4 linked regions of the Lepisosteus oculatus genome follow. The protein of the gene in region 2 purifies or fractionates together with the protein of the main gene of each other region. This does not show direct contact. Links are inferred from orthologs where the notes say so. Each region holds a gene or a part of one and is shown on either strand. Other genes may lie near its edges.

Region 1 (7,018 bases), on a different chromosome or scaffold from region 2:
ACTATTAGGTGCATGATAAAAATCTGTTTAAACTGACTGAAGGGAATAACCTAGGGCTACATGCTAGGGGGCTTCTTAAAAATTACCCTCTTCACATATTAAAAACAGACATAACTGTGCAGGTATATCAGACCAAGCGTTTTCTGACATTAGCTAGCATTGAGGCGAAAATACTGTGCAATTCACAGAACAGAAACATCAAGTGTCACCAACATGTCATACAGTTACACTACCAGCTGGAGAGAAAAAAAAAACTGAAAGAAGAAAAGTTTTCTCAATTCTGAATTTCAAGTTCTGACTTACTGGAAGAACTGAGACATCAACTGAAATAAAAGAAGCCAGGGACAGGTTAAATATCTCTTTACTTGAATTATGCTTCACAGCAAAATTGGTTTAATGCATTTTTCATTAGGGAAACAGAACCGAAACGAGCGGCCACACGATAGCACAGTGCTGGCATTGCTGCCTTGCAGCACTGGGGCCGTGAGGTCAATTCTAGACCTGGGGTGTTATCTGCATGGAGTCTGTATGTCCTCCCCATGATCACATGGGCTTCCTCCCAGAGGCCAAAGGCATACTGGTTAGGTCAATTGCCCTGTGGGAAAAAAATGGCCCTGGTGTGAGAGTAAGCACGTCTGTGTCTGTGTGTGCCCTGCAATGCACTGGCAGCCTGTCAAGGCCTGTTGATTGCTCCAGCTACCCTGCCACCCAAACTTTAACCTGCAGCACATGCAGCACAGCAGGGCACTCATCTGTATGCAGCAGGAGCCTGAGGCAGCTCCTTTCAACCATCAGCAAAGACTAATCTCACCTCTGCCTAGCCGGCGCTGTTCAACAGCCAGAAATCAGTCCAACTGGGTGAGTTAATTCAAGGGCAAGCAACACACCACACCCAGAGGCTCCAGGGGCAGAGGACAGCAGAAACAGCTGAGAAACCACTGTGTGCCTGTGGCTGGCAGATACTTAAGACCATCCCGAGCAAGTCTGAGGGGTTCGGATTTCCTATTCAACAGCAGCAATACCTTCTGCTTGCTGTGCTGTGTCTCAGGCCTTCCTCTTTCAAGGCCTGATATATTGACTCACCGACTACAGCCTCTCTCGCTGCAAGCTAGAATATATTGACTATAACTCCAGAACACCACCATTCTACACCTTTTGTCAAGTGAGACAAGTGGCAGGCAATTTTAATGTGCAATTTAACGGCGTCCTGGTTTTCATACAGATTTATTTTGATACAAAGAAACAATAAATTTGCTGCAGGCAAGGTTGACACCTGGCTAACTCACTGAGCAAGAGGCAGCATCACATTTTGACTCATACTAATTCCTGTATAAAGATTTCAGTTTCAATATCAATAACAAAAGGGCCTAGAAAATAATCAACTTGCTTTGACTTGTTATTGCTGAGTGTCGAAAGCGACAGCAGAACTATATACCAGCAATGTTTACTTCTCCAAGTGTGCTGTCATCCTAACCACAATAATCAGGTAGCCTATACTAATATATAATGAAATGAACTGACAATGAAATATCCCAGGCGTCACATCAAGTAAACTAACAGAACAGCACTTTCTTCATCAGAAAACGGAGGAATTGTTTTTGGTATGCATGTTCATTCATAAATCACACTGATGCTTGCTTGCTCAGCAAAGGAAAAATAATCGTAGTCGAAGGTTTTCTTTCAATTTTCAGTCAAATTTAGGCAGACACAAGTTATTGTATTACATGGGAAATAAATACCTGGGAAATAAAACACAAAAGCCATCTTAAATTATCTTAAATGAGAGCTTCTGCATCAGAGACCGGGGTCTTTATTTAAAAGAAATGCCACGGTGAACCGTAACAGAAGCTACCGTAACAGAGTCCTGTACTTAAGCATATGCTTAACGTGTGTGGTAAAATACAAGTCTCACTCGTTTAAAACAACTGGTTATGGGGTTTATGGCATCGTTAAAAGTATATTGGAGACCCCCAAAACTGCATCAGTCCTGTTGTGCTACACAGCCAATAAAATAGTATATTTCGTTGCGTAAAAAATAAATCTAAGTATATCTAACATTTGTAATTAAAAAAGTTGTTTTCATTGCTCGCCAAGTTAACATGTATGCACCAGGCGCAGATCACCTTGGCAGTATATATACAACCATGGCACATCCCTTAGCAAGATACCAGATCTTAAGAGCGGTTAATTAGTTCAGTTGCACGCTCACCCGTCTGTGTAAAAATGAATACAGACGCTGCACACACTGCAGTACCAAATAATAATCCATATATTGTTTGCATTGATTAAAGATGAACGTTAGTTTTGGCAACCTCTAGCGAAAGCAGCAGATCTTCTGCAGATTTTTTTATTACAGCAAAGCAAAATATTACAAAAATCGCATTTAGGAAGTAATCTATCGGCTATACCTACAGTATATGCCAGACAGCTAGAGCAACAGTTCTATCCAGATATGCTAAGTCCCTTCGCAGAATGGGGAATGAAAGTATAAAACGGCAGCAAAACGAAATAATCGCTATATCTGAATATTTCATTCAGAGCAGCGGCTATCCTGAGAAGAATGCAACACCACCCCAGCAATCTACATTCCGATCATTAGCGGGAATGTTAAATAAAAAGTCTTATACACTTGGGGCCTACGCTCCCAGGACAACTCCTCGGACTGTCCTATCACCCCCTTACCGACTATCACAGCCACATATCCGCGAAAGCGTGCTTTCCCTTACCTTGCTTGCTTTCTATTTTCCCCGACATTTCAAAGATAGTGTCAGACTCGGCGGAGAAGAAAATCCCACGATCGGCTGCTTCCCCCTTTTTCGGTTCTCCTTACTCCCGCATCCTTAGATAAATCAAGTGGATGTGGCGGTTTTGGTATATTCAGGACAGCTTTCTCCACACACAGATCAGTTATTCAAAATCCTTAATCTCTCACAAGCCTCCAGTGCTCAATGAGGCCAGCACAGTCCTGCCTAGCAGTAGTAGTACTCCGTTGTGTGGAGGATAGAAGCTCTTCTGCCCTCTCAAGGTTGGAATGAAACGTGCATTAAGCTCCTTCACATTTTAGTTGGGCTGCTCAAATCAAGTTTTTGGTACCCTGGGGCCATATTTTTCCTGTGTATTCACAGGTTTTAAATAAGAGAATAAATGAATGGATCGCCTTAATTTTAAATTACGTATAAGTTTGTGTTTCTTACAGCTCTGTCAGTAGAGACAAACTTGGTTTTTCCACTCATCCCATAAGATAGGAATCATTTAGGGGAAAATGCAAAATATGAAAATGTCCATAAACAAAAGCTGTCTCAATGCCTTTTTATTTGAATAGTGAATTAAAATTTGAATAGCCAGCTGCTTCTTTTCATATTTTGGCTCCACAAACTCAGTAACCTGAGCTCAAACCCATGGTCCCTGTATCAAAGAGTTCAACCAGCTTGGACCAACAACTCCAAAGCCTACCACTTTTTTGTTGTTGTATTCAAATAACATTATGTTTTTCTATGTTGGCCCACAGGGTGACACAGTTGTGCAGTGGGTAGTCTTGCCAGGGATGTTACATTAGTGGAGTGTGTATGTTTTTCTTTGTGTCCGTCTGGGTTTCCTCCTCATGCTCCAGTTTCATCCCCCTGCCCAAAGACATACTTGTAGATTAATTGGCTTCTGGGAAAATTGGCCCCGGGTGTCTGTGTGTGCCTTACAATGGACTGGTGTCCCATCCAGGATGTATCCTGCCTTGTGCCTACAGCTTGCCAGAACAGGCTCCAATTTCCCGTGACCCTGAATTGGATGAAAGCGATAGCAACTGGATAGATGTAGGTCTATAAATGAATGAATCCTTCTGGAATGCTCCATTTATAGAAATATCCATTTAAAAAACAGCTTTAGAAATAGTTTATTATGGTTTGAGAGTACTGTCACATTCCTGCAGTATCAGTTTACACTCCTTTCACCCCATCCACTATCAGAAAGCTGGGCACAGCAATCCAGCACCTATTTCGAAAGCACAGGGTTAAAGGCGAGGCTACATGTTGGACAGGATGCCTGTCCAGCAAAGGATGCACAGAAACCTATTAATCTAGCTAGGAAACCCTTGTTTTTTTTAGAAGAAACCAGCCCACCCAGAGAAAACCATGTCAACCCATGTGAACACAAGAAAAATGTGCAAATGTCACACAGAAGGTGCCCCAGTCCACAACTGATCCCAGGACATGAGCACATGAGCACTAATTTATATTCCACCACACAGAACTACACGTGGCATAGTGCTGTGAAAATGCAAGTTAAAACAGCAGGCACAATATTGAATTTGACCTCTAGACATAGACAATGTGATTGTGTCTTCTGCAATGTGAAAATACAATAAGCGCCTCACATCCATCCATTTTCATTTTGCTTACCTTGGTGAGGGTCAACTGCAGTGACAGCTTTCAAACAACCTCCTGCATTAGATAACATTTTTCAATTAAGACAGAATTTTCAGTTAAATTGACACAGTGAGCACTTCAATTAAAAAATAAAATTAATCAGGCTAGCTTTGTGAATAGCTTGTTTCCTATTTAAATTATTGGGCGTGAACCTCTTTTTCAGACATTAGTTACAGCTAGATAAAGAAGGCTGCCTGAATGCATCATAAAACTGACCTTATGAGATGATCACATTGCACAGACTAGAGTAGGAATGAGTGAGCCAATTGTGTGACCTGAGACAGAGAGAAACTAATACATAGTGACAACCGAATCTGGATAGTTAGAACAATATAGCACACACTGGCTTAGAGCCTACTGCCCCCTGAATGAACAATATTAAGTCATGGGATCATAGGAAGGCCTTTTTAATGGAACAGCTACCAACTAAACTAGAAATCTCTCGTTCAACCATATGTCAACAACACTCTCTGATTTAAATTAAAACTCATTCAGCCCAGCGAGTGATAGCTCCGCTGTTGTAGAAACGTATTTTAAAGCGGTTTTTGTACATGTATATCTGCAATTCTATTTATGATTGGTACATAAGCAGACAGCAGTGGAAAGCACAGAAATTAAAAGTTAAATGCACCCTTTCCTGTATTTAGATTAACCATAGCCAACTTTATTGACACTGGTATTGTACTCCTTATTGTACTCCTTATCTAAAATGATGCCTGTGGTTATATACAATTATGTAAGAACTTCCACAGAATATGGGTGTTGTTCAGTGGCTCAGTTGCACAATTCAATAAGAATCTACAAAGTGTAGCGGTACCTATCAACCAGCTGCATTATTTTAAATCTGGCATTGAAGTAACGGTAATAAAAAAATTCTGAGTAACTCATAATGCAACATGATTTATTCTCTTCATTTTAGTCTCTCACATGCTTTACAATAAGTTGTTTGACCCAGTACATTTCCATTTAATAATTCTACAAGAATGTTTTTTAATGTGTTTTCTAAAGGTTCTGTTCTGCCAAGTTGATGTAATACATATAACACTGTCCTCTAAAAACAATACACTGTCATAATCCCACTTCAGACATTTTATTGATTTTCGCTTTGCTGCCTCTTGAATTTGTATCTTTACCCGTAAGTCATACACTGCTTCTTCACAAATCAGCCTGGTAACTGCATAGATAGTTGGATTTCATTGTTTTTATCAGAAAAAAGAAAAACAATTTAATTTCCTGATAAATGAAATGACTTAAAAATTCAGAAACTTCCTTGAAATGACAAACTTCCCATTAGCAGTATCCATGACAAGACATTATATATGACATGACACCCGCACAATTCTTTACATGCTTTATCTATGAGGTGGATAAATACAGTTGGAGGTGTAACAGTGCTAAAACTGAAATAAAGGTAATAGTATTGTAATTGGAACATGGAAACAAGTAGGTAAGGGCCTCATATTTAACTTAACATTTACTGTGAGTACTCAGCAGTGTCTGTTTTGATGCACACAAGCTCTGAACCGCCCCTTGTTTAGAGGCAATGCAGTACTGTACCTGAGGGAAAAGCAGTACTGTGCGTGATGTTTTTTACATGAACAGTCTATTTCAAAACAGCGTCATGAAGGACGCATGTGGAGTCCATGATGTAAGTTTGGGCTTCTTTTTGACGGTTGCTGTTCGTCTTCTATACGGCACTGTTTAACATAAAATTCCAGTCCCGCTTTCCTCATTGTCAGCTGTGTTTTTGAATAAATACAATCAAAGGTAAATACACACTTCAGTTCCTTCAAGGCAGAGCCCCACCCACGCCGACACACGCTTTGCTCTATCTGAACAAAAGAGGAAGCACTGTTCACAACCGAACAGGTTTTTTAGCCTTACAGAATGTGTGGCCTAAGGCCATCTTTAAAAGTACACAGAGAGGGAACAAGAGAGAAACTCCTCCGATAAAATTTGACATGTGTGTTAACCTGTCGGGTCACAAATGCAGACAAAGGAATCTGCAAGGGCCCACAAGGTACACCAAAGGAACTTTTTCAAACATATAAGACTTCATTTAATTTTTCCCCGGTATTAAACTTGCTACATTTATTATGGCTACCAAAAACGTCCATTTTACGAATATCAATTAAATTAAACAAAAGATGTTTGATATTTTACTGGCATGGATTCTGGTTGTTGTAATAATAATAATAATAATAATAATAATAATAATAATAATAATAATAATAATATTAGTCATGTATATGTGACACATCCATAAAAGGCAGTTGTAACATGTAGGGCTATGTCATGGGCATTTTTAACACGGAATAATAATAATAGCAACCACAACACAAAAAGTGCAAGACTACAAGCCATTATACTATGATGCACTGACATCTAGTGGTAGAACTGAAACCAGATGATTCTCCTTCATGGAATTAGGGTACACCTTGAGTGGAGGGGATAATGATAATAATTGCTTACACTTATATAGCGCTTTTCTGAACACTCCACTCAAAGCACTTTACAGGTAATAGGGACTCCCCTCCACCACCACCAATGTGCAGCATCCACCTGGATGATGTGACGGCAGCCATAGTGCTCCAGAACGC
Region 2 (7,655 bases):
GATGTTATACATCAAAACAAAGCAGAAAAGGCAAAGATTCATGAAAAGTGGTGCAATTAGCAGCAAGAGCAATGTCAAATTGTTATGGGTGAAAATAAGTTCATTAAGAACGGGGTACATCATTAAGAACAGAGAAATGCAGATCCTACCTCTAGTGCCAGGGCAGTCTTGTCATAAGCACAAGGCACACGTTTCTGGATGGCTTTAGCCATTACAGGTCCATTCTGTGTGGAGGGCAAGGGGTTGATGACTGCGCCTGGGGTGGTAGGGGGGAGAGGGGAGGGTGTCTGAGGCTGGGCGTAGGCGTGGGCAGGCTCAGGGATGCCATAGCTGTTTGAATTCCTGTTGCCATGGAACTGGTGCTGATGTGGCGATGGTCTAACCAGCTTCTCTACGTAAGGCACAGGGATCATGCCCACTCGTCCCTCCTTGTTCCTGGCGCTCCACCACTGCTCCTCGGGTTTCTCCAAGATAACCAAGATCTCCCCCTTCTTGAAGGGCAAGTCCTCGGCATCGCTCCCGGTGAAGTCATACAGAGTCCGAACATACTCCAGATTCTCCTCGGGCTGTCCCACGGGCGCGGGACTGGTCCCAACAGACGGATTTGGGTATCTGAAAAGAGCAACGCACACATGACCCACTTCAACCCAAAAACAACCGTCGGGAACACAAAGCAACTCAATTAACAGTTTCGTCTCTTCAATGGTACCATCGGAACAAAGATTTTACAAAATGGTAGAAAACTGCTCTAGAAATAATTCCTGCGGCTTTGTTTAATACAAACCAAGGGGATTAAAAACCCCAGGGCATTCCTTGAAGAGCAGGGGTGTTAACCCTGGTGTTCTGGCACAATTTCCACCTGGTCTTGACCAATCATTTATTATTTCTTAAAACAGATCTATGCTTGTTTAATTGCTAAAGTGCATAAAAGCTAAGAAAACAAAGTTAAAAGTCTCAAAATAAAGCCCCAAAGTGCTCATTTTCAAATTGAGCAGACAATTTGAAAATGAAACCCCAACTGGTCATGTCACCTAAGGACTCTTCATAATGTTCTGCACTGCCTCTAACAGGTTATTTGAAATAAGACTGACTTCGAACTACAGAGTAACAGGTAAGAGAAACAAGAGGAGCCCACAAAGTAATATATCTCATGGGGTTTCTGTCTGCAACATGTAATACTAGTTGCTGTCACAACACCAGCTTCGCCGATTTCCTGGTATCCTTTCCTTATTTACAGATATACAAGCTAAAAGTTCCCCCAATGTTTCCGACAAAACCTAAACCCCCTCAAGCAAACCAAGCACTTCTCACTAAATTTGAGAGCTCGCGTTCAACCCAATATCACACTATTCTAGTGAGCGAACAGTAGTTTTATTCTTGGTCCATCTTCAGCATATCCCCCAAACAATGCAATCTTATTTCTTTTATTTCTGGCGGGGGGGGGGGGGGGGGGTAGAAGATCAAAGACCACATTAACGAGCCCGTCCAGCAAGCGAGCCTGAAAGGGCGATAGTTCCTTCTCGCCTCTCGATTCAAAATAAAACGGAAGTTGAGCACCCGAGAGCAAGTAAGGGGAAGAACTGACCAGAAAGGCTTCCAGGCAAAGCACTAGGTTTACACACAGACACACACAAAAACCAACACTAAACCCCCTCAACAGATAATAAAAAGAAAAACAGGAAATCGAAGTTCACAGCCCGCACACAAATGCGTTCACCCTCCTCCTCCTCCTCCTCGCTGCAGCCGCAGACCCCAACCCGATGGCACCCACCTCGGAGCCGGCTCGATCAGCGTCGTGGTGTCCAGGTAATGGATTTTGTAAAACTCCAGCAGGGCCGGCAGGTGCTCGAACTCCTGGTCGCCGATCTTGAACTTCTTGTTGGGCAGCGAGTTGATGATGTAGTGGGACACCTTGGAGTTCTCGGACACCGACAGCACGTAGTCCCCCGGGCACGTCGAGGAGTCCCGCACCAGGAACATGCCGTGCCTCTGCCCCTGCAGTCTGTTCTGCGCCTCCTGCCGCGACACCGGCCCGAAATACCAACTGGACCGGTCCGAGGGGTCGAACCGCGCGTTGGACATGGCGGGGCGGACTCGAGACGGGATCCAAATGATTAAGAACAAAAAAAATCAATAAAAAACGTCCGGTTTTTTTTTTTTGGGGGGGTGGGTTGGAAACGCCTAGTTTCGTTGAGAGCTCAAGGGCGAGTTTTCACCCACCCCGATCGCGGCACGAAGTTTTAAAACGATGGCAGCCCCGACCGGCAACGCCGATTTCCTCCCTGACGTTTCACAAGAGAGCTCTAGCTACGAGGCCGACTTGGACACATTATAATGCCGCCTTTTTCCACCGCCCGCTATGTCAACGACCTAGAAAAGGGCCCAAGCAGCAGGAAGGAGCGCCCGCTTTCTGGCAGCTCTTTAAGAAGCGCTCAACCATCTGCCGAAACAATGTTCTTCAGCCGCCGCTGCCAGTCCGTTGAACTAACGGGAAATATTATTGTACCGAACTGTCCCCCATCTTGCTCAACGGCGTTACGACTACGGCCCCGGCTCAACCCCGCAGATTTGCCGGCAATAATCAGCTCCCGAGACGGAGGGAGGGTGGGGGAACAACAAGGCTGGGGGGTCTCTCTCTGTCTCTCTCTCTCTCGACTCCGGTACAGAGTTTCCAAAAGCAGGCTGACGAAAATGGCGGCCTTCGCGCACGTCTCCCGAAAAGCAAAATGAATTGTGCTGCAGAACAGCCCGTCTCCAGCCTCTCGGGTGTCACCAATCCCCCCCCCCACTCGGCAGCGGATCTCGACGCTTTCGGATTTTTTTTTAAAACAAAAAAAAAACCCCACACAAAACGGACGAACGCGGGTAGGCCCTTACTCAGGTACGTTTTCGCGGCTCCCCCACTTCACCCTGTTGATACAGGAATCCGCCTGCCTGCCTCACACAGCCCGACTCAGAAATGGCGGCGGGGAGGGCGGGTCCGCGCGCTCCCAGCTCTACCCCGCGCGCAGGTGACGCGGCTTCTGCCTCCTCGCGCACCAAAGAGGAAGCGGAGAGAGGGGGGGCAGGCTCGAGCGCCCGTGCGGAGCCGTCGTGATCGGTCGCGGGTTGTTGTTTTTTTTTTCCCGTGTTTGTTTGTTGTTGTTGCTGCTTTTTAGGTCTACAGCGGGGTCCTTTCAAAAGCAGACATTATAAAAAGGCACCATCCTCGCCGGAAAAAAATAAATAAAAACAACCCCCCCAAAAAAATCGTCTCGCAGTTTGTAGACCAAAGTCAGCCAAGCCAAACCACTTAAATCGGGCCACGACGTGTCTTGTAAGGGGGCACCTACGTTTAATCAGAACATTAAAAGGCGCAATGTCGGTATCTTGAGACGTAAACGCACATCGTCTCGCTTAGATTTGACAGAATTTATGAAATGCGCAGGCAACGGTTCTGTACGACGCTGCACCGCTGGCCTGTAGTAGGTTTCTCACCCCTCCGGGGAACTGCTCGACCCCCTGGCGCTCATCTGCGGGCATTGTGCAATCGCACCATTGAGCATGCACGTTGGTGATAACCATCTCTTAAAAATTGTTCAAATAAGTGCTAACGCCAAAGACAGCTTTATGGCGGCAGTTTATACAGTACATCAGTACATTTACAGCGACAGCATGAAAAAAAACGTCCACTTTAATGCCTTTACCGTTCATATTTTGGGGGTTGTGAAAATACAAGCAGAAATGACCAGCACACTACACACATGCAAATGCAAATAATTATTTTTTTCCTTTAGCATATACATATAGGGACAGACTTTGAGGTTTCCACTCCCTGTTTAAACCTGCCAGCCAGACCGCAGAAATCTGCCACATCCTAAAGGTATTTTTAAAAGCAAAACATCCACTACCAACATCTCACACAGTTTGGAGCTCTATAAACATTAGATTTGAATCGTGTAAGACATTTCATTTCTTGTGAAGAACTCTGTGAAGATGGCTTTTGTGGAGATTTTGTTCCCTGCCTTGGAGACATTGGCAGGACGGTTATCCAGAGCACAGGTCTCCACAGTTGCAGTGTAATTGTGTTCAGAAATGAGTGCCTCGGCATTGGGATGCAGGAGACATACCGAAACCCCTCCTAAGTGCGTCGCTGATGAAGGGGATTGACAGAGAATGTCAGTTGTTTGTTGAGAGAGCTCCAGCATAACACTGTGGCCTAAAGCCAGAGATCCCCATTTCCTCATCTGTGCTGGGAATTCAAAGAAGGGGTTGGAAGAATTCACTTTTCCTACGAGGCTGGAAAAACAGGCTTTGAGTGTCCGGGTTGCATAAAAAGCCACTGGAACGCGGCCTAGCTTTTCACAGAGACCCAGTCTGGACGAATATAAATGGTTTTGCACCCACTGGTTCGTATTGGCGGACGCGTGCCAATTTCTCACATAACTCCCTGAGAGAGAGGACGAGTGCAAATTATCGATGTGCAAAAATGGAAATTTAATATTACTTACAATTTTGGAAGAGTGTACTTTAGCAATAATATGCCACGCATTGCATGCGTAACATATAAAGATGCTTTTTGCATTAATACACAAATTAGCTTACATTTCAATCTTTCTAAAAGCATAATGTTTGAGTAAGAAAGATATATTTTTAATTTAGATGAACATCGATTATAAAAGAGGATGTTGCAACATGACAAGCTATAAACAGAAGGGCTGTGTTTGCTCTAAAATGACAACGTGGATTGATTCTGTATGTATTTTAATCTTTTAATGCTCCAGGGTGAAAAGAATAAGCCTGCCTCTTTATATAATAAAAGAGGGTGAATTTATACAGTACTAATCTTCTCACATTAGTGTCTTCAGATCATCACTTTTTGTCAAGCCAGAGTATTGATCTGCTTCAGACTTTAATATGGTTTTTAGATATTAAAGTACCTACTTATATTAACTCAGATTTTCTTTCCAAAATGTACAGTATTTGAAATACATGCTTTCATTCACTATAGTGGAAATGCACTGAACTACACAACTGATTTTAATCACATAAGTTAATTTTATTTAAAAACATTTATAAAACATCTTGAAAACTGAAATATATGTTTGTATTTGCAGTAAAAATATTAAATGTAAAATGACATGATAAAACATCAGAGTACACAAAACACTTTTATAAGAATCACACAAAATAATGAAGCTGCAGAAATACTGTGAAGTTTTACATTTTTAAAATATGTAGCTTTAAAGACCTGTAAAGAAGCTATATCCCTATACAAACAGAAACCCATCACCAGTGCTCCTTCTATCATTAAGAGAGGTTTTTGTGGCTACACTCTTATTTTAAACCAAGTTTATCCAACACCCCTGTAAAGATAAGTAACACTTTATTGAACAATTGCAAATTCACGTGTGATTCATTACACAGTTGTAATCTGAAATAAACACCTTTAAAATTCTGTAACAATATATTATTTTTAAATTCCCGTGGAATTATAATGTGTCAATGTCAATAATGGGAATACAATAGAGTGTATCTGCTGTTTCAAGAATCATTTGCAAGCACTGAAATAAAAAAAAAGTTTTTTTTATACTTTTAATAGAATATTGAGGATGGGGACAGTTTTTCCACTTAAATCCTTTTCACAAAACTGAAATGAGACTTTTTCATGATGCAGGTCTTGGCCGTGTTGATCCTTGTGACATGAGTACCTGTAGGACTCTTTTTTAGTTTGACTTGTAGATTCTTAATTAAACCCTTAATAGTTTTCTACCCCTAACAATTAGCAGTTTGCAAGTTAGGTATGAGGAGTTATATATAGTATATATTACACTAGTTTTGAGTTTCACCTGATCATGGGGCAGAATTTGTAAAAAAAAAAGTAGGCCGTAACCTAGATTGTTTCCCTGTGGAAATCTGTGCTAATGCCATCCATGATAAGTGGGTGAGAGGCTCTGGAGATAAAAATTAAAAAATGTAGCACGCACATATAAACATAATACTTCTTCCTTCTTCCCGCTGAGCACGACAGAACTCCCTCATGCCTACATTTTTTTCTGTATTTCAATAGCAAAGGAGAAGTTCAAGGTGAAGTGTCTCAGGGATAAAATTGGGAAACACTTAGATAATTAAAGACAAAATGACTGATAAATTAATATTTCACTCAGGTTTCACCAAGGAAGAAATAGACAACATACCTCAGGATGAGAAGAGACAAAACCGCATACTAAACAGCATTAGCATAGAAATGCAGGCATGTTACAGCTACTAGAAACAATTAAGATACATCTTCAGTGTTCTACTACTCCTACTTAAGGAAACAAGAGATGCTATTCATAGTCCATTAACAAAGCTCTCACTGCAGTCTCTAGAGATGGGATGCAGCACTCATCCATGAAAAAAGTGACAAAATCAAACCAAGGCATCACAGACCAATGAATCTTAAATCCGACTACATGAAAGGTAATGAAAACCATAAGAACTACACCAGAGGGTCATCTGAATGGAAATTTAATTCTACAGTGCAGTCAACATTGATTTGGAAGCAGCAGGTTTTGTATAACTTGTTAGAATCCTTTTTGATAAAAAAATATTCATAATTTATACAGATAGAGCATATGAATGGCAAAGTACTGTCCCACTCTGGCAGGCTAAAAAGTGCTTTTTCGTCTTGACCAAAGAAACATGATTCGAGTTTTGAAAATCTTCAGATGTCATTCTTCCATGGAGTAAACAGTGAAACATTAGCCAGAGGACAAAAGTGGAAACTACAGGAAAGGTTGTTCCAGACTCCCACAAGTGACCCAACCATGTTTTTTTAAGATGATACAAAATAACAGGATTAGATCCCCTCATCACCTAGGGTACAACCACTATATAAGCAGGTATTGTATAAGGATATTAAAATAAGTTTATTTGTCATTTGCACACAACATGGATACACAACAGTTAGTCAAACCTCTCCGACAGCATCATTTGTTCTTATATCACTTAACAATGGGACGCTCCCTTCTGTAGTGGAATGACTACTGCAGCTACACTAAAATCTATAAAGCAGCAATAAGTGTAAAGCAGTCAGGGAATAAAGTGATTCTGGAAGAAAAAAGGTACAGAATGTCTTCTTGACTTGAACCCTAACATTAACAGCCCATAAAGCTTCTTGGTGCAGAGCCCATTGTTGTGACAGTTCTAACCAATTATCACACAAATGCATAATCCTCTTTACAGTTACTATTTGGCTCTGGCATTCAGAATCTGATTTGACCAGTGCAGTTCATTGCCGCTGCCAGAAACTGAGATTGTATCATCGTAAGCATTCTGCTGGGTAGAGGAAACTGGTTACATAATTTTACTGTATGGGAAGATTCTGTTTGGTAACAGGAAGCAGGCAGTTTAAAAATCAATCCCCAGACTTTCCTGGTGAAACAAAATCTATTTTAAGAATTCTCTGATGACGGCTGCATGTTGTTGTCAGCAATCTTGTTTAAACAACTAATGACTCAGACACTTAAGCAATTAACTATTATTTCTGTGAACATTTAACATGCAGCCGCCTTTATCTGCCTCTGTAATACACTATAGGTACACAGCTCATCTAAAGATATGCGTGTAAGAATGAGTCATTAGTCACATACAGTACACACTGGAAATGTCAGATTATCCACAACACAGAAATT
Region 3 (7,650 bases), on a different chromosome or scaffold from region 2:
ACCACACATGGCACTCTAGAGGCCCAAGTTTCACTGGCTAGGCTTCAACTACAGTATATACTGTAGGTTTTTCTTGATTTGCTGTACAACAGTGACCAAACACAGCTGCATCACTCCTCCTGTCTAACTGATTTTATCGTGGAGGAGACAAGTATAGAAATTAAAATAATAAATGGCAATTCCAAGTGTAAAGAAAAACAAGATTTTGGCACATGCAAAGTTCAAATGCAAGGTTTTATTTAATATCACATGTAAAACATGTTTAAATATATGCAAATCCTTGACTGCTTGACTGTCTTTTATGTAAATCTATTGCTCCTGCAAGCACCATTCTCTATTTGTGTTACTATCTGTGTGCTTATCAGTAGATCAAGCGATTATCAGGCACCCTAGCAGTGACGGGATCACCAGATTTTCAAAAAAGATGTTTAAATCCAGATTTGTCATAGTAGGTCATTATTGTACATTTTGATAGCCTTGTGTATTTGAGTATTTATGTTTATAGCACTCATTCCTACTGTATCTAAAACTGCCCCAATATTTTGCATGTTTGAAAAATATTTATTTTCATTTTAGCAATGCTGTCTACCTTACAACTTATTTTTGGGTGGGAAAAGTGTCATGGTGCACAACACAGTCCAGCACTTAGATTTCTTCCATGTATTGCAGTCATGGAACCCTGCCAGAATACGCCAAAGTTGACAAATGCAATTTGATTAAAGGGAGGTTCATTTTCAAAGCACCTATCGTATTGAACTCATCCTTCTTTTCGTCCCAAAGAAAACCTCTTCTGGTTATCTTGGCACATGTAATGCTGTTAAAAAGTGCATCAAGTCTTGCACTGCTTGTTTTAAAAGGGTCAGATGACATTGTTTAATTGGGCTTAACCACTGACTAATAAACCATTTCTTTGTTTCTGTTTTATCCTGCAGTGTCTTCAGCTTCTCTCGCAGTGATCCCTGTCCCCTAGAGGAAAGCTTTATCTAGTGAGACAATATTGCCTCAGAGGCCCCCTTCAGACTGCTGGCTGTTCTTTCCAGCAGTGAATAAGGACAATGAAATCTAATACCCATGCCCAGTAAATATTTTTTCTTTTCCTTTTACCTCTCACCTACAGTTTTTATTACCTCTGGAATTAATTTCTGCCTTTTCAGTATACACTGCCGCAAACACACTATTATGTAAATGTACAGTATAGAGCACTGTGCAAAGGTAGTGTGTAAACACAATCAAAAATTCATCAACGCACCCAGTCATATTTTCTACTATTAGAACAACTTTGAGTCTTAGGAATACACCGTTTACAGTTTAGGTGAGAAGAAACAAAGCTTCTCATTTAACAATTTCGAACTCTCATTGTCCAGAAACATAATCATAGCAACTCATGGTAACTTATACACGTGTAGGCAGTATAAAGTGCTGTAGAAGCTCATCCAGAATGTCACAATCAAAGTTCATTGATTCATCATTGGCTCCTTAGGATTAATATCAATTTGATACTTTCCTACATGCCTTAAAGTTCTGTTCTTATTGTACTTCTTTTGTATTTCTCCATAATCCCCTCAGTGATCAGACAAATCGAATAAAATGTGTTAAGACATGTCTTGTCAAAGGCTTCTGTATATTTCCTCTTAACATATGGACTATGCAATAATTAAGTTTTAAAGGCTACTTTTGTGAATCTGTTTCATTTGGCAGAGCTTCTTTCAAGAATGTCTGCTGAGTCTCGGCTTTCTCTTTGCTGGAAATAGCTGGCATTGTACTGTGATTTGAAAGAAATATTTCAGTAATTGTTTGCATTATCCACCAAAAGGCTACAGAAAGGTATGTTGTTGTGACTATTATGTTTATCACACTCTTTTTTAACAATGTCAGATCTATATCTTCCTATTCCTCTCATTTATTTTTCCTGGATCTCCAGTTTGTCTTCAGGTTAGAGTTTTTTTCCTGTGAAATAAAAGAAATCCCTATTTTTTCTGAGTGAACTGTTGAGGACATACTGTACAGTACACGTATAACAAAAGTGTCTGCAAATTAACTTAAGACCAAAACACAAAGTCCTCACCTATATTCTATAAACCCTTCATGTAGCATTTATAATTTGTGATGGATCCCCAAGGCCATGGAGATGAAATTGTATGTGTTCTGAACGAATGTTCCAGTGTGTAGCGGTCCATGTGTAGTAAGATATTTTGTACTGTAGTTTGCTGTATGCAATGCCTACTCAGCTTTTTAAGATGTGATTTTGTCTAAAAGAGAAACACACATTAAGGTAACTGGGGTTACATTTAAAGAACTGCATACTTAGTAGGAGGTTTTTAAAGTTTCTATCCTGGAAAGAATAGGAAAACATTATTAAACAAAGTTTTTTTTTAATCATGATAAAGCTTGCTTTAGCCATGCCATGAATATTGTTTGCTCTTTTTAAAATCTGAATTGTCAGGAAGCATAGGCCTGTAAGACTCAGTGTGAAAATGTAAATATGAAACCATTGCACACGCCTACAGTATGAATTCTAACATCTAAATGTTAGACTGACTCTCAAGTGGGTTTCTCCAGACAGGGAATGCTGCTATGTTAAAGAAATGTGATTTTACCTGCTTACAGTTTACCCAATAATAGCAAATCCCTAATGGTTCTTCATGTTTATAGCATAATCAAATGCCCTGTTGATCTACTGAGAGTCCTTGACAAGTTCATTTGATACTAGAGCGGTCCTGTTTGGTTCTGTGGGACAGCAATACAGAACAGACTGGCTGGCTTTATATTTATTCTTTTGTACTTGTGACAAATGAATCCTCATTAACAAGCATTAACAAGCATTAACAAGCACTTACTTCCTTCTCTTTTAGCATTCCATACCCTCACATCCTTGAAGATTGTTTTTCTCCACAGATCCCAATTAACCATTAAAGATATTTCATGTGGCCTTTGCAGTTCTGACTAGTTGCTGTATACCTGTGAGCTAGCAGAGACCAGCAAAGAGTTGGAACAAGTAGTTCAATGTTGTGTCCATTTCTGCTACTCCTTAACTGTCACTACAAAAAGAAAGCAAACTGCTCACCCAGAAAGACCGCAAAACAGGAAATAATCTGATAACAGACACTTTCTGAACATTCTGGCAAGAGGGGTGTTTGTTGTTGAAGCTCTAGATATTTTTTCCTGTTTTTTGTTAGAACATGTCTCCTATTTATGCTGAGTAACAAACCTACAGAAATGAGGTTAAAAAGTAGGAAAAAGACGGCCAGGCTATAAGCATTTAATGCATTCACATGTACACGTATTAGCAATATTGAGTTGAAGACATGTGATATGGGGCTCACTTAAAAAAATATAACCAGAAAATATCCAAACATATCAATGTGATCATTTCAAACTGTTAGGAGATGATGTATCAAACTATTAATTTTGCCATGATGCACATATATATCATACACAAATAGCCAGGGCTAGGACTTGGGGTGTAACCCTGGTTTTCTGGCCAGATTTACCAGTCATGACCTCTTAATTCTCATATTTAAATTGGCTTCATTACTTCATTATAGTGAGCGTACTGACGCACTTTGGCTGCTGTTACATCATCCCATTGGGTGCTGCACATTGGTGGTTATGGAGGGGAGTTCCCTTTTGCTGTAAAGAACTTTGAGTGGAGTGTCCAGAAAAGCACTATATAAGTGTAAGGATGATTTATTTTAGCTACAAGGACAATTTGACAAGCCTGGGTTATACAGTGGCTTTTACTTTGGTTATATTTGTTTATTACCAGCAGATACCAATTTAAAAAAGATGTGAATATCAATTTGTTTACAAAATAAGACTGGGTTAGACATATGCTGGCATATGACATATTCATCTGGTTCCTTTATTATCTTAGATGGCTTTAACACTACGATTTAAGTTCAGTTTTCTGTCTGTGACAGGTTAAAGGCTGTATACAGTACACTGCACAGAAGAACAATGAAAAGATGTTCAGCAAGACAGAAAACACAAAATACATGTGACTGTTTGCTTTAGAAGACAATTATCAACTGACTTCTTGTTAATTCCATTTTTATGCTTATTTTTAACACTTCTGTACCCAATAGTGAGTGCTTATTGTTTAGGCATAAGCTTTAAAGAGCAAAGTTTGAAAATTGAATTATTTTGTGGGGGAAATGTTTTTAGGATTTTGAAGTAAAGACATCACTTTGTTGAGAGGGAAGAGAATAGAGACTGGGGTTTCTGAATCTCCTTGTAATTTGCCATGGGTAGAGCCTTTTACAGACAATGAATGTTAAAATACCAGGAACCCAACCTACAGTACGTGTTGTAGAATACAATGGGTACTTCAGACTTGCGTGGCTTTCTGGTTAACAAATGGTGCTTTTGTCGACAGCCAAGGACTTTCCTGTTGGCTCACAAAGCTTACAATGTGCACTTAACCAGGTGCTTATTATTCTGTATGTTTATTCAAGGCTTTTCTGCGGCGGTGGTGTGGTGGAGCATTTGTTCCTCATTGTACTCTACACAGCTGTGTTACCCAGCCTGAGAAACACTATAGAGCACCTACAGATGAATAGGTGGGATTACGATGCAGGATACCATGCAATTACAGGCTGAGCTTCAGAAAGGAGCTAATTAGGAAACTAATGATGGAACAGGAAACTATAGGCTAGGTCTTGTGGCAACCTGGTAAACTGCCCGTATTGTATATCCCAACTGAGTTGTCAGTAACAGCAAGTGATGGTACGTAGCTAGATGTACTGAGTCACATTCATCAACTCATACAGTTTGATAACAATACAGTACCTCAGTCTTATTTCAATGCTTTCTTCAATTCCCAGCTGTGAAAAGAGACATTCTTCTCAATACTTTCTCAATGTGCTGGAGGTCATTTCCCCACAGTTCCACATTAGAGCTGCAGTTTCCCAAGGTGTCAGTATGACAAGATGAAAGGATAGGTTCAGGTTTCAAATTGAGTCAGATAATTGATGAATTTAATAAGCATTGTATTAATATGTGTTTACTCATCATGGGTGTGCTCATTTGGCAATTACATTTAACAAAACTATACAAGAAAAGGTTTTGTTCTGAAAACTTTCATCAGACACACAGCAGGACTTTCACTTTCTCAACTAACATTTATGATGTTTACAGAATTCTATAAAAACTTCAAAACTTTCTGGTAGAATGATAACTATGTGGTTGTCTGGTAGATCTCTTCTCCCAATTGGTTCTGTGGACTCTTAAATACATAATGATAATGAAAGCTTTGAATGAATGACCTTTTCAAAATGAATTTCAGTTAATTTAATGTTTTTGACTCACGGTGGGAGTTATTTTAGGGAATTTTAAAAATGCTGCACCCCCTGTCCTGTGTCCTTTTAAGTGACACAGTTTCCCATAGAGTGAACCAAGTCTGACATAGTCTGACATAGATTTCAAAAGAGTTGAGTGTACTTCATGAGTCAGATCAAAACATAATGGTTACTTACACACAATACAAGCTACCTCAACTTTCAAAGCCACTGTCATTGCCGAGAACAGAGACAGAGAAAAAAAGAAAACAAAGATATCAATTTCATTTTGTGACAGGTATGCTTGAAAGCCTTCTGTTCCCTGTAAAAGCAGCTCCTGATACAAAATTGTTTCACTCAAAATGTTTTTTTTTACTGTTTAATGATGTATGGTCTAATTACTATTCATACAACCCAAGGCCATGAAAAGTTCAGTTGTCTAAATGGTGCTGAATATCTTCTTAATACATATGAAAACAAAAAGTCAGATGCAAGACATGGTATCCTAGTAAAAAAGGATTTATCAGTTGAAATTGATCACAGCTGCATCAACGTTAAGACCATTCATCCAAGGCTCAGGTGAAAGCTGTTAATACCTGCACTATTTGCTGTCACTGTAATTAACAGTTTAAAGTATTACTGCATGAAAAATACCATTTACTGAGTTTAGTCAAATTGTTAGCCAGACTTTAACCTTTACAAACCATCACAATGCTAAAACATTTAACAATAATGCTCAGAACTATGTTAACATTTACATTTTGATTTCCATGGCTTTCACAGCATATCTAAATGTGAAAATCCTAGTAGAAAAATTCTTCATGCCAATACGTGTATAAAGACATGCAAACTAAGAGTGTTCCAATTTTAACTTGTGCATGTACTGTAATATGTATCCACTTTTGGATTGAAATCTGGCAATTGACGTGACAGTCTAAAGTTTTCGATGTTTTTCCCTGATGAAAACCTTTATAATACTAAAGAAGTATTATAAAGCCTCACACCTGAAGCCTCACACCTGAAAAAGGCTCCACGGCCGAAACGTTGTGTTCTCTTTCTTCTTTTTTTCAGCATGGAATAAACCTACTGTATTACAGTACTTGTTCCTTTGCAGCCTACGCATGCTGATGCAGCTACCCACCTGAACTACTACAAACTAAGAGTATAATACTTCTTTAGTATTATAAAGGTTTTCATCAGGAAAAAACATCGAAAGCTTTAGACTGTCACGTCAATTGCCAGATTTCAATCCAAAAGTGGATACATATTACATGCACAAGTTAAAATTGGAACACTCAAAGAGTACGCAACTCTTGACTGCAGCAAAGCATCCCAAAAGGTTGCATAACGAGTTTGGTGAGTGCAATGGACTTCATGCATTTATTTCCGGAAAGGGATACGCAACTAAATTAAAAAATGTTTATAATATGAAATTTATTTAAAGTTTCCAAGTACTTAAAATCACTCAAATCTCTGAGATAAGCATAGGGTACAGTATATTCTAACATGGTCAAATGTATGGATTGAATAACCCAAATAATAAATTCTAATGTAGATGTTTTCTTAAAGGAACTATTATTAAGCAACAAAACCAAGCTCGTTGTTGTGGATTTACACCAGATCCGAAAAACTGGAAGTTGTGATCCCAGTTCAGCCCTTTTTAACAATGGAATCCATCTAGCGTGGCAAACATTTAGTTTTCAGCAGTGGAAATCGCAAGAGGTCAAATCCTATCCACAAAGTTCCTCAAGAAATGACTCTTCATTCTCAAATCCTAAACACAATACGGAAGTGATGCTGTGATTGTGTACTTTAATGAGTATGAATTTCCAGATTTAGATTTCAGTCTGTATAAATGAAGATATGGACAAAACCATTTTTTAAAGTAGCATGAATGCCATTTTTAATAAATGCCTTGTTTTTATGCATTTTAGCATTTGGATATGGAATGAAATGGCTAAATAATCTTATATGTTAAACCAACTAAAAAAAACTGACTGCACGAGTGTCTAAGAATGTAAGGAAATACTGGTAACATTTGTTTTTAAATTAATATTTTATGTTTACTAACTTTGTGCATAGCTGTGCAATACAAAAAACAACAATTTAGGATTGACAGACGTTAGCTGACGGTTTAAAAAATGTGTGTCTGTGTACAGTAGCTTCGAACTGGACATCTTCCCACTCCTTCGAAATCTGAGCTTAGACATGTAACTGAAAACGTTCTGTGAAATTTACACCTCACTGTAGAATGCAGCCTTTGAACAATCTGAGCAAACAACTATTTCAGCTCCACTTAATTTCCCACTCAAGCCCTTGGGACCTGCTTACCAGTTATACTCATCCTGTCACTCCCATGTACTTTACCAGTAAT
Region 4 (7,659 bases), on a different chromosome or scaffold from region 2:
TCATTTATTGGCATTTAGAGATCAATAGTCCTGAATGACTGACCCATGGGAATCTCAGGCTCTAATATAGGAAAACCTTTTTGGTTATTTTTTTAGCAGCAGTCAAACGTTAAGTCATGTTAACTTTAATTCTCATCAATCCTTCTTGAGGTAGACTCGCACAAAGGATGAAGTATTAACCATGAGGGTTGAAAGATTAACTCAAAGACCTAGCTTGCCTTCAGCTGTGGGCATGAACTAGCACCTCAGTGACTGACAGACTTTCTCCGTTACCTAGCACTGCCACAAGTGTTGCCTGTAGTGGGGCTCCTAACACGCAGCAAATGGCCACAGATTCTGTTTTCCAGGAAACAGTGTCTTTTTTTAAATCCCAGCAAAAAAAAAAAAACAAGGAAAAAACAAACTCAGTGGAAGTTTCCACTTCTCGGGATTTTATCATCCTGGTCATCTGTGTTCCTAACACACACACTAGGCACAAAATTTCCTGTTTTCCATCCATTGTCACATCAGTTGGTTCTGAAGGCTGTCATTTCTAACTTTAGATCTGAAACCTGACCCTTAACCAAACAAGAAAGAAACGGCAAATAACTTCTTACAAGCTCTGCTGCAGAGAGAGCCCTAGGAGGACATAAAATATCTGATGACTTTTGATGTCAAACCAGCTCAAATCAAAACCTGTGGACTGCTCCACAGGCTATGCAGGTTATTAAACACTTTCAAGGTCTTTGCTTTTACGAGAGAGGTCTCTTAGAGCCAAATACAAATATAGATCTCTGTAACCCGTTTGAAAATGTTAACCCACTTTTGTTACTGAACAGTAGATGGTAAAGGTCTCTCCCTTTTACAAATACAAGAGGAAGAAACCCTGACAAAGCAAAACTCAGTCCTGCATGAGAAAACAAACGACACTTCAGCACAGAACTTTTGGCTGCAGCACCGTAAACACAGAGGTTGTGTTTTTCAGAACAGGACAATTTCAAAAAGGCCTCTAAATGCAGTCCAACATTGCTAATGGAGAGAGAGCATAGCAACAGCCTTACAGCAGATTTTAAATGGAGACCTGTACTCCCTGGTCACAGCTGATAAGAAGGCAGCGATATATTGCAAGCAAACCGAAGGGTGTGCAGACCCAGTTTACCTAGGATTACCGTTTCTAATGGCTTGTAATATAGCTGGACTGGACCTATTTTAACTGCTGTAGCCATTTCATTCCACCTTTCAATCATTTTCCAGCTGGTGTCGGGACACAGCCTTTATCGAGTATCAGACAGACTCGTTCCTGCAGTCATGACACATAAGAACATTTACAAACAAGAGGAGGCCCTTCAGCCCATCTAGGTCACTTGATTTTGTGGTGCTAACTGATCCAGGCTTACACAGCTATTTCTTCAAAGAAGCCAAGTACTTTGAGCTGACTACTACTACTGTTACAACTACCTGACTATTAAATTATTACATGTTGCACAACAGCTGGAAATTCATCTTCTTCTTTGCTAAATACGTCTTGTCGCACTTTAAAAATGGAAAAAAGAAATGTTCTTATGAATTGCTCGGTAGTCATCCCAGTCTAGCCTTGCTTCTCTAAGACAACTTATACACCACCTTGGCCCTAGGCATGATGATTCTGTTTATTAAGGGGGCTGTCAGCTGCTAGAACGCACTCAGCAGATTCTATGGAACAAGTGTAAAGATGAACTGGTCAAGCCCACCTCCACAACATAATAAACCAGTTATTTTCCAGCTACACTGTCTGTATGGAAAGAAAAAAGGTCTCGCATCCAGAAGCATCATCTTAATAATTCCGATCACTAAAATTATTATTTATTACATTACTTTTTGCAATTTTTATACATCAAAAAGAAGTATAATATACAGTGCGTGTATATACTGAATGTATTAAGACATTCACCCACAAACATGTTTTACACATAATTTGTAAAGCATTGTGCAAAGGTTTGGGTTCTTTAAATATCACATGTATTGCGTAATTCATCACCTTTACAGTACATCATTGCACTGTTTTATTTATTAATACAAAGCATGTTAACATTTTAATAGCTGTATTTCAAAGAATATCAAAAAATACTTTGCGTTCTATGTTTTTACCTCTACACCTTCGCAGTGTTTTACTGGAGTACTGTTGCAGGAATTATAGATGACATCTTGAAAATCTTTCCAGCAAGTCCGTTTTGCTGGATTCTTTTAATTTTATACAGATGCTCATTTATACTGAAGCTCTACTGCACTCTACCATATACTATATACATTTCATCAGCATTATGAGAGAAAAGGGCTGGCTGCGCATGTCAGTTAGTAGTAGCCTTGCTCAAACCCCACTAGTTAACAGCTGTACACAGTAATCTTCCAGAACAAAAAATTAAAGACAAAAAATACCATATATATAAAAAAGCAGTTTCACAAGACAAATCACTTAACAAAAATATAGAAATGATCGACAAATAAATTTAAATGTATAGTCTCATAGAAATTAACTGGGCATTACACCAGAGGCCTCTTCTCTACAGTGTTTCTATAATGGCTGCTTGCAGGGAATGTTCAGATTGCAGGACAGCAGATCGGCACATTCTCGATAGATTTCCTGCCTCACTGTGGCTCATTGCTACACCAAAAACCTTTCAAGTCACAGAAATATCACCGCATGGTGTAAACGTACACTTTCAACACGCTGAACAGCTTTTGAGCAAAAACAGTGCTAAACAGTGCTTTGCTTCTCCACGAGAGAAACTCAGGTCCCTTCAGGAAATTCTACAACTCCAGAAAACAATTTCAAACACTGGCGAAGTGAAGGAGTGAGAGGAGGAAAGGAAAACCCTGCCAAACAGCCCAGGAATTGGGAAAATGCAGAGTGCGGCAGTTTTTTTTACCTTGTTTTGCCGTTTGCTTGCAGGGAGGATCGATAACGCGCGCTGGAGCCTGCGTCTGGCTCCGGAGCTTGCTGTGCGCTGTACGGTCTGGCTACTTTCCTGTCGGCTTTCCATCGCCGTCTACAACACCCTGCTCCAGTAACCCCTGACCCACAGGAAGTAGGCACAATGGACTGAAAATAACAGAAACTGTCCCCTCCATCACGCTTCAACAAAGAGCAGGCACACAAATATGGATCGCACTGCTGGGATACTAAAATATCTCCAGCACTGAAAGCAAAAAGCCCAACGAGGCAGTAATGACCAGTGCATCCCCACCCCTGCAGGGCCTTGTGCCTTGAGCCTTGTGCCTGTGACACCCATGTCTGGACATGAGGAGAGGACCCCGATGCTTCTGTGGCAGCCCCGACAACAACAACAGGGTTTAAAGACTTGTAACTAAGGCCCTCTAACTCCACTGCATGGACCAAACTCTTTGAATGATTCTGGCCACATGACTGGCTAGTTTTAACTTTCTCTGCCAAAAATCTGGATTCTCATGTTTAAGCTTTCAGCTGGCGCATCTAAATGAAATTAAACTCAGGTGCACATCAGAGTCATAATCCCCTCATGGGTTCTGCAGTTGTTTTTAGGGAGAGAGGCACAAGCAGAAGAATACACTACTTAAAGACTCCCAACGTCACTTGTGATATGTGCAATAAGTCTACTACCCCTCTGCATGGTGCTGTATCATTTAATTGTAATTCACGCATTATGTAGCAAAGCCTCAGAACAATGCTGTGATAAAATCAAAGTTTATTGGGATAAATATAAAAAACAATTTCATACATCTGACAGTCTCAGATGCATCACAAGACAAGTGATCTAAGATGATCTCAGCATCTTAACAGGGTTCAGGCTGTTCCTGTTTTCACAGAAGCCAGGAACTGGAAGAGGAGGCTCAGCTCAGCTCCATTTTCCAATATCAGCTCACAGCAACCCTGACTCAGGATGCTGAGAAAACCCCTTGAAGACGAAAGATGCTCCTGGAGCAAGATTGTGGAGCCCCAGAGTTTCAGGGTCTCTGGCTGAATTTAGCCTTAAACTGAAGCTCCATCTGGCTGCTGGGGTTGGCTGCCAGGCTGGCAGAGTTTCCCCGAACAGCTTGCACGTCTCTGCAGGCTGGCACAGAAATGACTCTCATGCCAAGCAATTAACTGCAAGGCTAAATTGAGCTACACGTACCTGTCAGGTTGGAGCCCACAAACAGCACTTCACAAGGGACAGTAATTTACTGCCGACTACCAAACCTAACCTTCACAATATCAAGTCTGGGGCTGAAGGCACCCCAGGCTTTTAATTTGGAAATTAAAATTTAATGGAAAAAGAACTAGCACATTGACTATACATATTTTTTTTCTTTGCCCAGTTAACCCTTTATGTCTTAAAACTGATTTTAGACAGAAATAAAGAATCGCTTGCATATTGCAGGAATGTTTCCTGCAATATGCAAAATGTTCTCAATTTTCTCTGCACATCAAACGTACCATGATGAATATTCAGAATGTTATTTAGATTGTCAAAATAAACTGTTAATTATAAAACGCGTGTTAATTGGTTGATTGGATGCATAAAATTCAGGGATACACATATATATATACACATAATCTAGTACAACAAGTGAAATGCATTCATACAATAATGATTCAGTCACAAACAATAACCCAAGAATTCAATGAAAACAAACCACGTGTGTGCCGAGAAACGAAAAAATGCAGTTTGTTCATCCATGTAGAGGAAAACCTTGCAGAGTGTTTTTAGTGGCGTATGATTCACATCTGGCTCTTGGGGAGATAAACCCTGTTCAGTGCTCACCTCGATTCTACAGTCCCGTCTTTACATGACTTTGCACTTCCAGCAGGCCCGAAGCCCAGATTCAGAGTTCACAAACCTTCTACACCATAAAGGGTTAAAACCAGAACACGCTTGAGAGCTGGAAGTAAATGTTAGAGCTCTCAGTAGGTCCTCAGAATACTTTCAAGCTTCTAAATGTACAGAGTAATTATACTCTGTATAAGCAAGCTCCAGTCACCAACTTCTGTGCCAGCACTGCTTAAAATGGAACCTATCGCAAAAGGACCACAGGTGCTGACACCGACTGCAACTGCTCACAATTAAATACTGCGTTTTAATGACTACAAGCCTGACAGGGCGTAACACAAGAACACACTCTTCTGTGACACAACAGTTGCTTCCCTGATGGAGGCAGCTTTACTTTGTTGTGAATTTGTTTAATAGAATCAAACACTTAGCAGTAGATCCAGACAATGGAAAGTCATACTGTATTGCTTTTAAATTGTATTTTTAGCTCATAAAATAACCAGATAGACCTGTCCTGACCTGCAGTTAAGACAGCTTGGAGACAAATTCACTCTTGGCTTATTTAATTGTATAGTTGATATTGCTGCTTGCCAAGATGATTCTGTCACGGTACTTTCTTTCTCTAGTTGACAGTGCATGTATGCATAAGCTACTGCAAGTCTTGATATTTTTCAGTTACAATCTGTGTAACCCTACATTTTGAGAAACAGGTTTCAGGTGTCTTTTATTTTCTAAGAGACGGGCCTACTTTCAGAGTCCACCAGCTGCAGTCAGGTGTGTTTCTGTCCAGGGACACCACATTAATTCTTACAAGTCAAATAGCTGCAGCTCCAGAACCATGACTTCATTTTATAGCTCTCTGCAGCCATGTGGGCTGGAAAGTTGTTGCCACACCACATTAAAAATAGCTGGACCCATTTAGAAACATGTGCAGGCCCTCTGACACGCTGCTTGTGACATCCTGTTTTGTTTCTGAAAGAGCACGCTGTGAGTTTAAGGGCCTTCCACTAGGCTGGAGAGCACTCATTTGTGTGCAGCAACACATCCAGTTCTAACCTTGGAGAACAGCCTTTCCTTTTCTTATTGCTTATTGTAAATGCTTAAACACAAAATCTTAAGCAATTCAAATGCCACCATTCAACGACAATAATTATAAGAATAACAACTGAATGTTTTGCATTTGAGAACAAAGTGCCAAGCATGTCTCTGAAGCTCCACATGATCTAAGGATCTACTCTGCCTGATCATGGAGATCATCTGATCTAGAGGAACAACACTTTCCCTTTTTTACAAACCATCTCACCTGCATTCACTTCACTGAGGAGTCAGAGCACACTTTCAAAAAAAGGAGCTGGATCTCAGAAAATGGTCTTAACACCTGTAATGCACAATACTATGCTTAGCTTTTGTATTTGCTACTTTCATAGTCCTCCTCCATTCCCACAGTGGTGGACTAAAAGGAAACAGCAGAGCTTTTAGCTGAACACTAAATATTGGGGCTTCTCCTGCTGCAGATGAAATGTTATTACTCTATAAGCCTGCGGTTTGACAAAGAGGCTCAACCACACTACTGGATCATTATCCTGGCTCCCCTGACGGGCTAAAGTATCCATATTAAAGAGGCTAATCCGTTCACTCTGATATATCAGTGCTCACAGCCCCAGAAAGAGGTGCTGGGGAGGTTACAACACTGAACAGAAAGCAGATCGGATTTCCATCATCATCATCACGACACAAAGCAGGGTTTGAAAAATTTCACCCGTTTGTGATTTCCAATACAAAATAAAGAACCCCCCCCAAAAAAGATGAAAAGGGTTCTTATTGTTATAAGCATTCACAATATACAACAGAAGGGTCCAAAAAGCAATAGAACTATTATACCTGCTTTAATACCTAAAGTAAGACACATTCAAGTTTTTTGTTTTATTGCTCATTAGAAGCTATAAAAAGCAAGAAAATCCAGAATACTTGGAAATGTCCACAGCAGATAAAAACATTCTCTGAATTTCTAAAATATTCTGCTGAAGCAGGAGATAAACTGAGTTTCCTGGCTTGTTATTTATATTTTCTTTATACACTGCATTAAGCAAATGATTTACAGTTTAAGAGTCAGACAGACCTGTAATTACCAACCCAAACTTGCCAACAACACTGACACATCCATAGTGCTGTCCTCACATTACCTCTACATACTTTGAGACTCAAATTAAAATTTTACCAGTATATGCACAGTTTTCTTCTCTGCCCTGTTTTGGTAGCCACTCACTTTCCTGCCATCTAGGATACTAAACAGTGAAAGAAAAGTTAAATTGACCGATAATGTACACTGTGACCCATTCAATACCAATTACAGATTTTACCCCTTAAGCCCTAATTCAGCCATGAAGTTACACTCACTGCAGTTGTGCTGTGAAGCCAAGTCTCATCTTCACACCTCTTAAAATCATGAAACCTTACTAATAATGATGCTTCTTGGTTTTTTACCCCCCAAAATGTTATCATTTCAATGAGCAGTTCACCGATGAGAGGAAGAGACACTCTCAATAACTGGATTCAAGTATGTCCATTTCATATACTGACTTGTCACATTACTTAAATACTGTAAACAAACATCCAACTATTAACCCATAAAGAAAAACCTTGCTTTTTGAATATGCTTCTGAGCCAAAAAATCTCAGACTCATTAATCGTATTAAATCTTATCAGTAGGACTCAGCCATTTTCTAATCACTTTTGCCCAGATACAGACTTAGCTCAGTAGACTTAAGATTTACTCTTTCACCTGCTCACAAGCTTAATTGCTAATGCCAGAGATTCACAAGACGTTATGCAAATATCTTCAACTGATACATCACCTTTCAAGTGCCACCTTTCTATGACCAAGGAAAAATGCCAATTTATTCCAAGTCGTCAG

What was found.
Region 1: the proteins of crkl (region 2) and rapgef1b purify together in Homo sapiens (affinity purification with western blotting; 16 studies listed by BioGRID and IntAct, with this or other methods). This does not show direct contact. The link is inferred for Lepisosteus oculatus from reciprocal best matches to the Homo sapiens genes CRKL and RAPGEF1.
Region 3: the proteins of crkl (region 2) and nedd9 purify together in Homo sapiens (affinity purification with western blotting; 4 studies listed by BioGRID). This does not show direct contact. The link is inferred for Lepisosteus oculatus from reciprocal best matches to the Homo sapiens genes CRKL and NEDD9.
Region 4: the proteins of crkl (region 2) and gab1 purify together in Homo sapiens (affinity purification with western blotting; 3 studies listed by BioGRID and IntAct, with this or other methods). This does not show direct contact. The link is inferred for Lepisosteus oculatus from reciprocal best matches to the Homo sapiens genes CRKL and GAB1.

What each region holds. Positions count from the first base shown.
Region 1 is NC_090719.1:7,538,677-7,545,694, forward strand, and holds the start of rapgef1b (rap guanine nucleotide exchange factor 1b), read right to left. Parts: upstream 3,007-7,018; 5' UTR 2,755-3,006; coding exon 2,727-2,754; intron 1-2,726. UniProt on the Homo sapiens protein: Guanine nucleotide-releasing protein that binds to SH3 domain of CRK and GRB2/ASH. Transduces signals from CRK to activate RAS. Involved in cell branching and adhesion mediated by BCAR1-CRK-RAPGEF1 signaling and activation of RAP1.
Region 2 is NC_090717.1:9,392,645-9,400,299, reverse strand, and holds the start of crkl (crk-like protein), read right to left. Parts: upstream 3,008-7,655; 5' UTR 2,083-3,007; coding exon 1,772-2,082; intron 613-1,771; coding exon 150-612; intron 1-149. UniProt on the Homo sapiens protein: May mediate the transduction of intracellular signals.
Region 3 is NC_090705.1:17,612,066-17,619,715, reverse strand, and holds the start of nedd9 (enhancer of filamentation 1), read right to left. Parts: upstream 3,005-7,650; 5' UTR 2,856-3,004; coding exon of another isoform or gene 2,838-2,855; intron 1-2,837. UniProt on the Homo sapiens protein: Scaffolding protein which plays a central coordinating role for tyrosine-kinase-based signaling related to cell adhesion. As a focal adhesion protein, plays a role in embryonic fibroblast migration.
Region 4 is NC_090696.1:27,606,186-27,613,844, forward strand, and holds the start of gab1 (GRB2-associated-binding protein 1), read right to left. Parts: upstream 3,015-7,659; 5' UTR 3,000-3,014; coding exon 2,886-2,999; intron 1-2,885. UniProt on the Homo sapiens protein: Adapter protein that plays a role in intracellular signaling cascades triggered by activated receptor-type kinases. Plays a role in FGFR1 signaling. Probably involved in signaling by the epidermal growth factor receptor (EGFR) and the insulin receptor (INSR).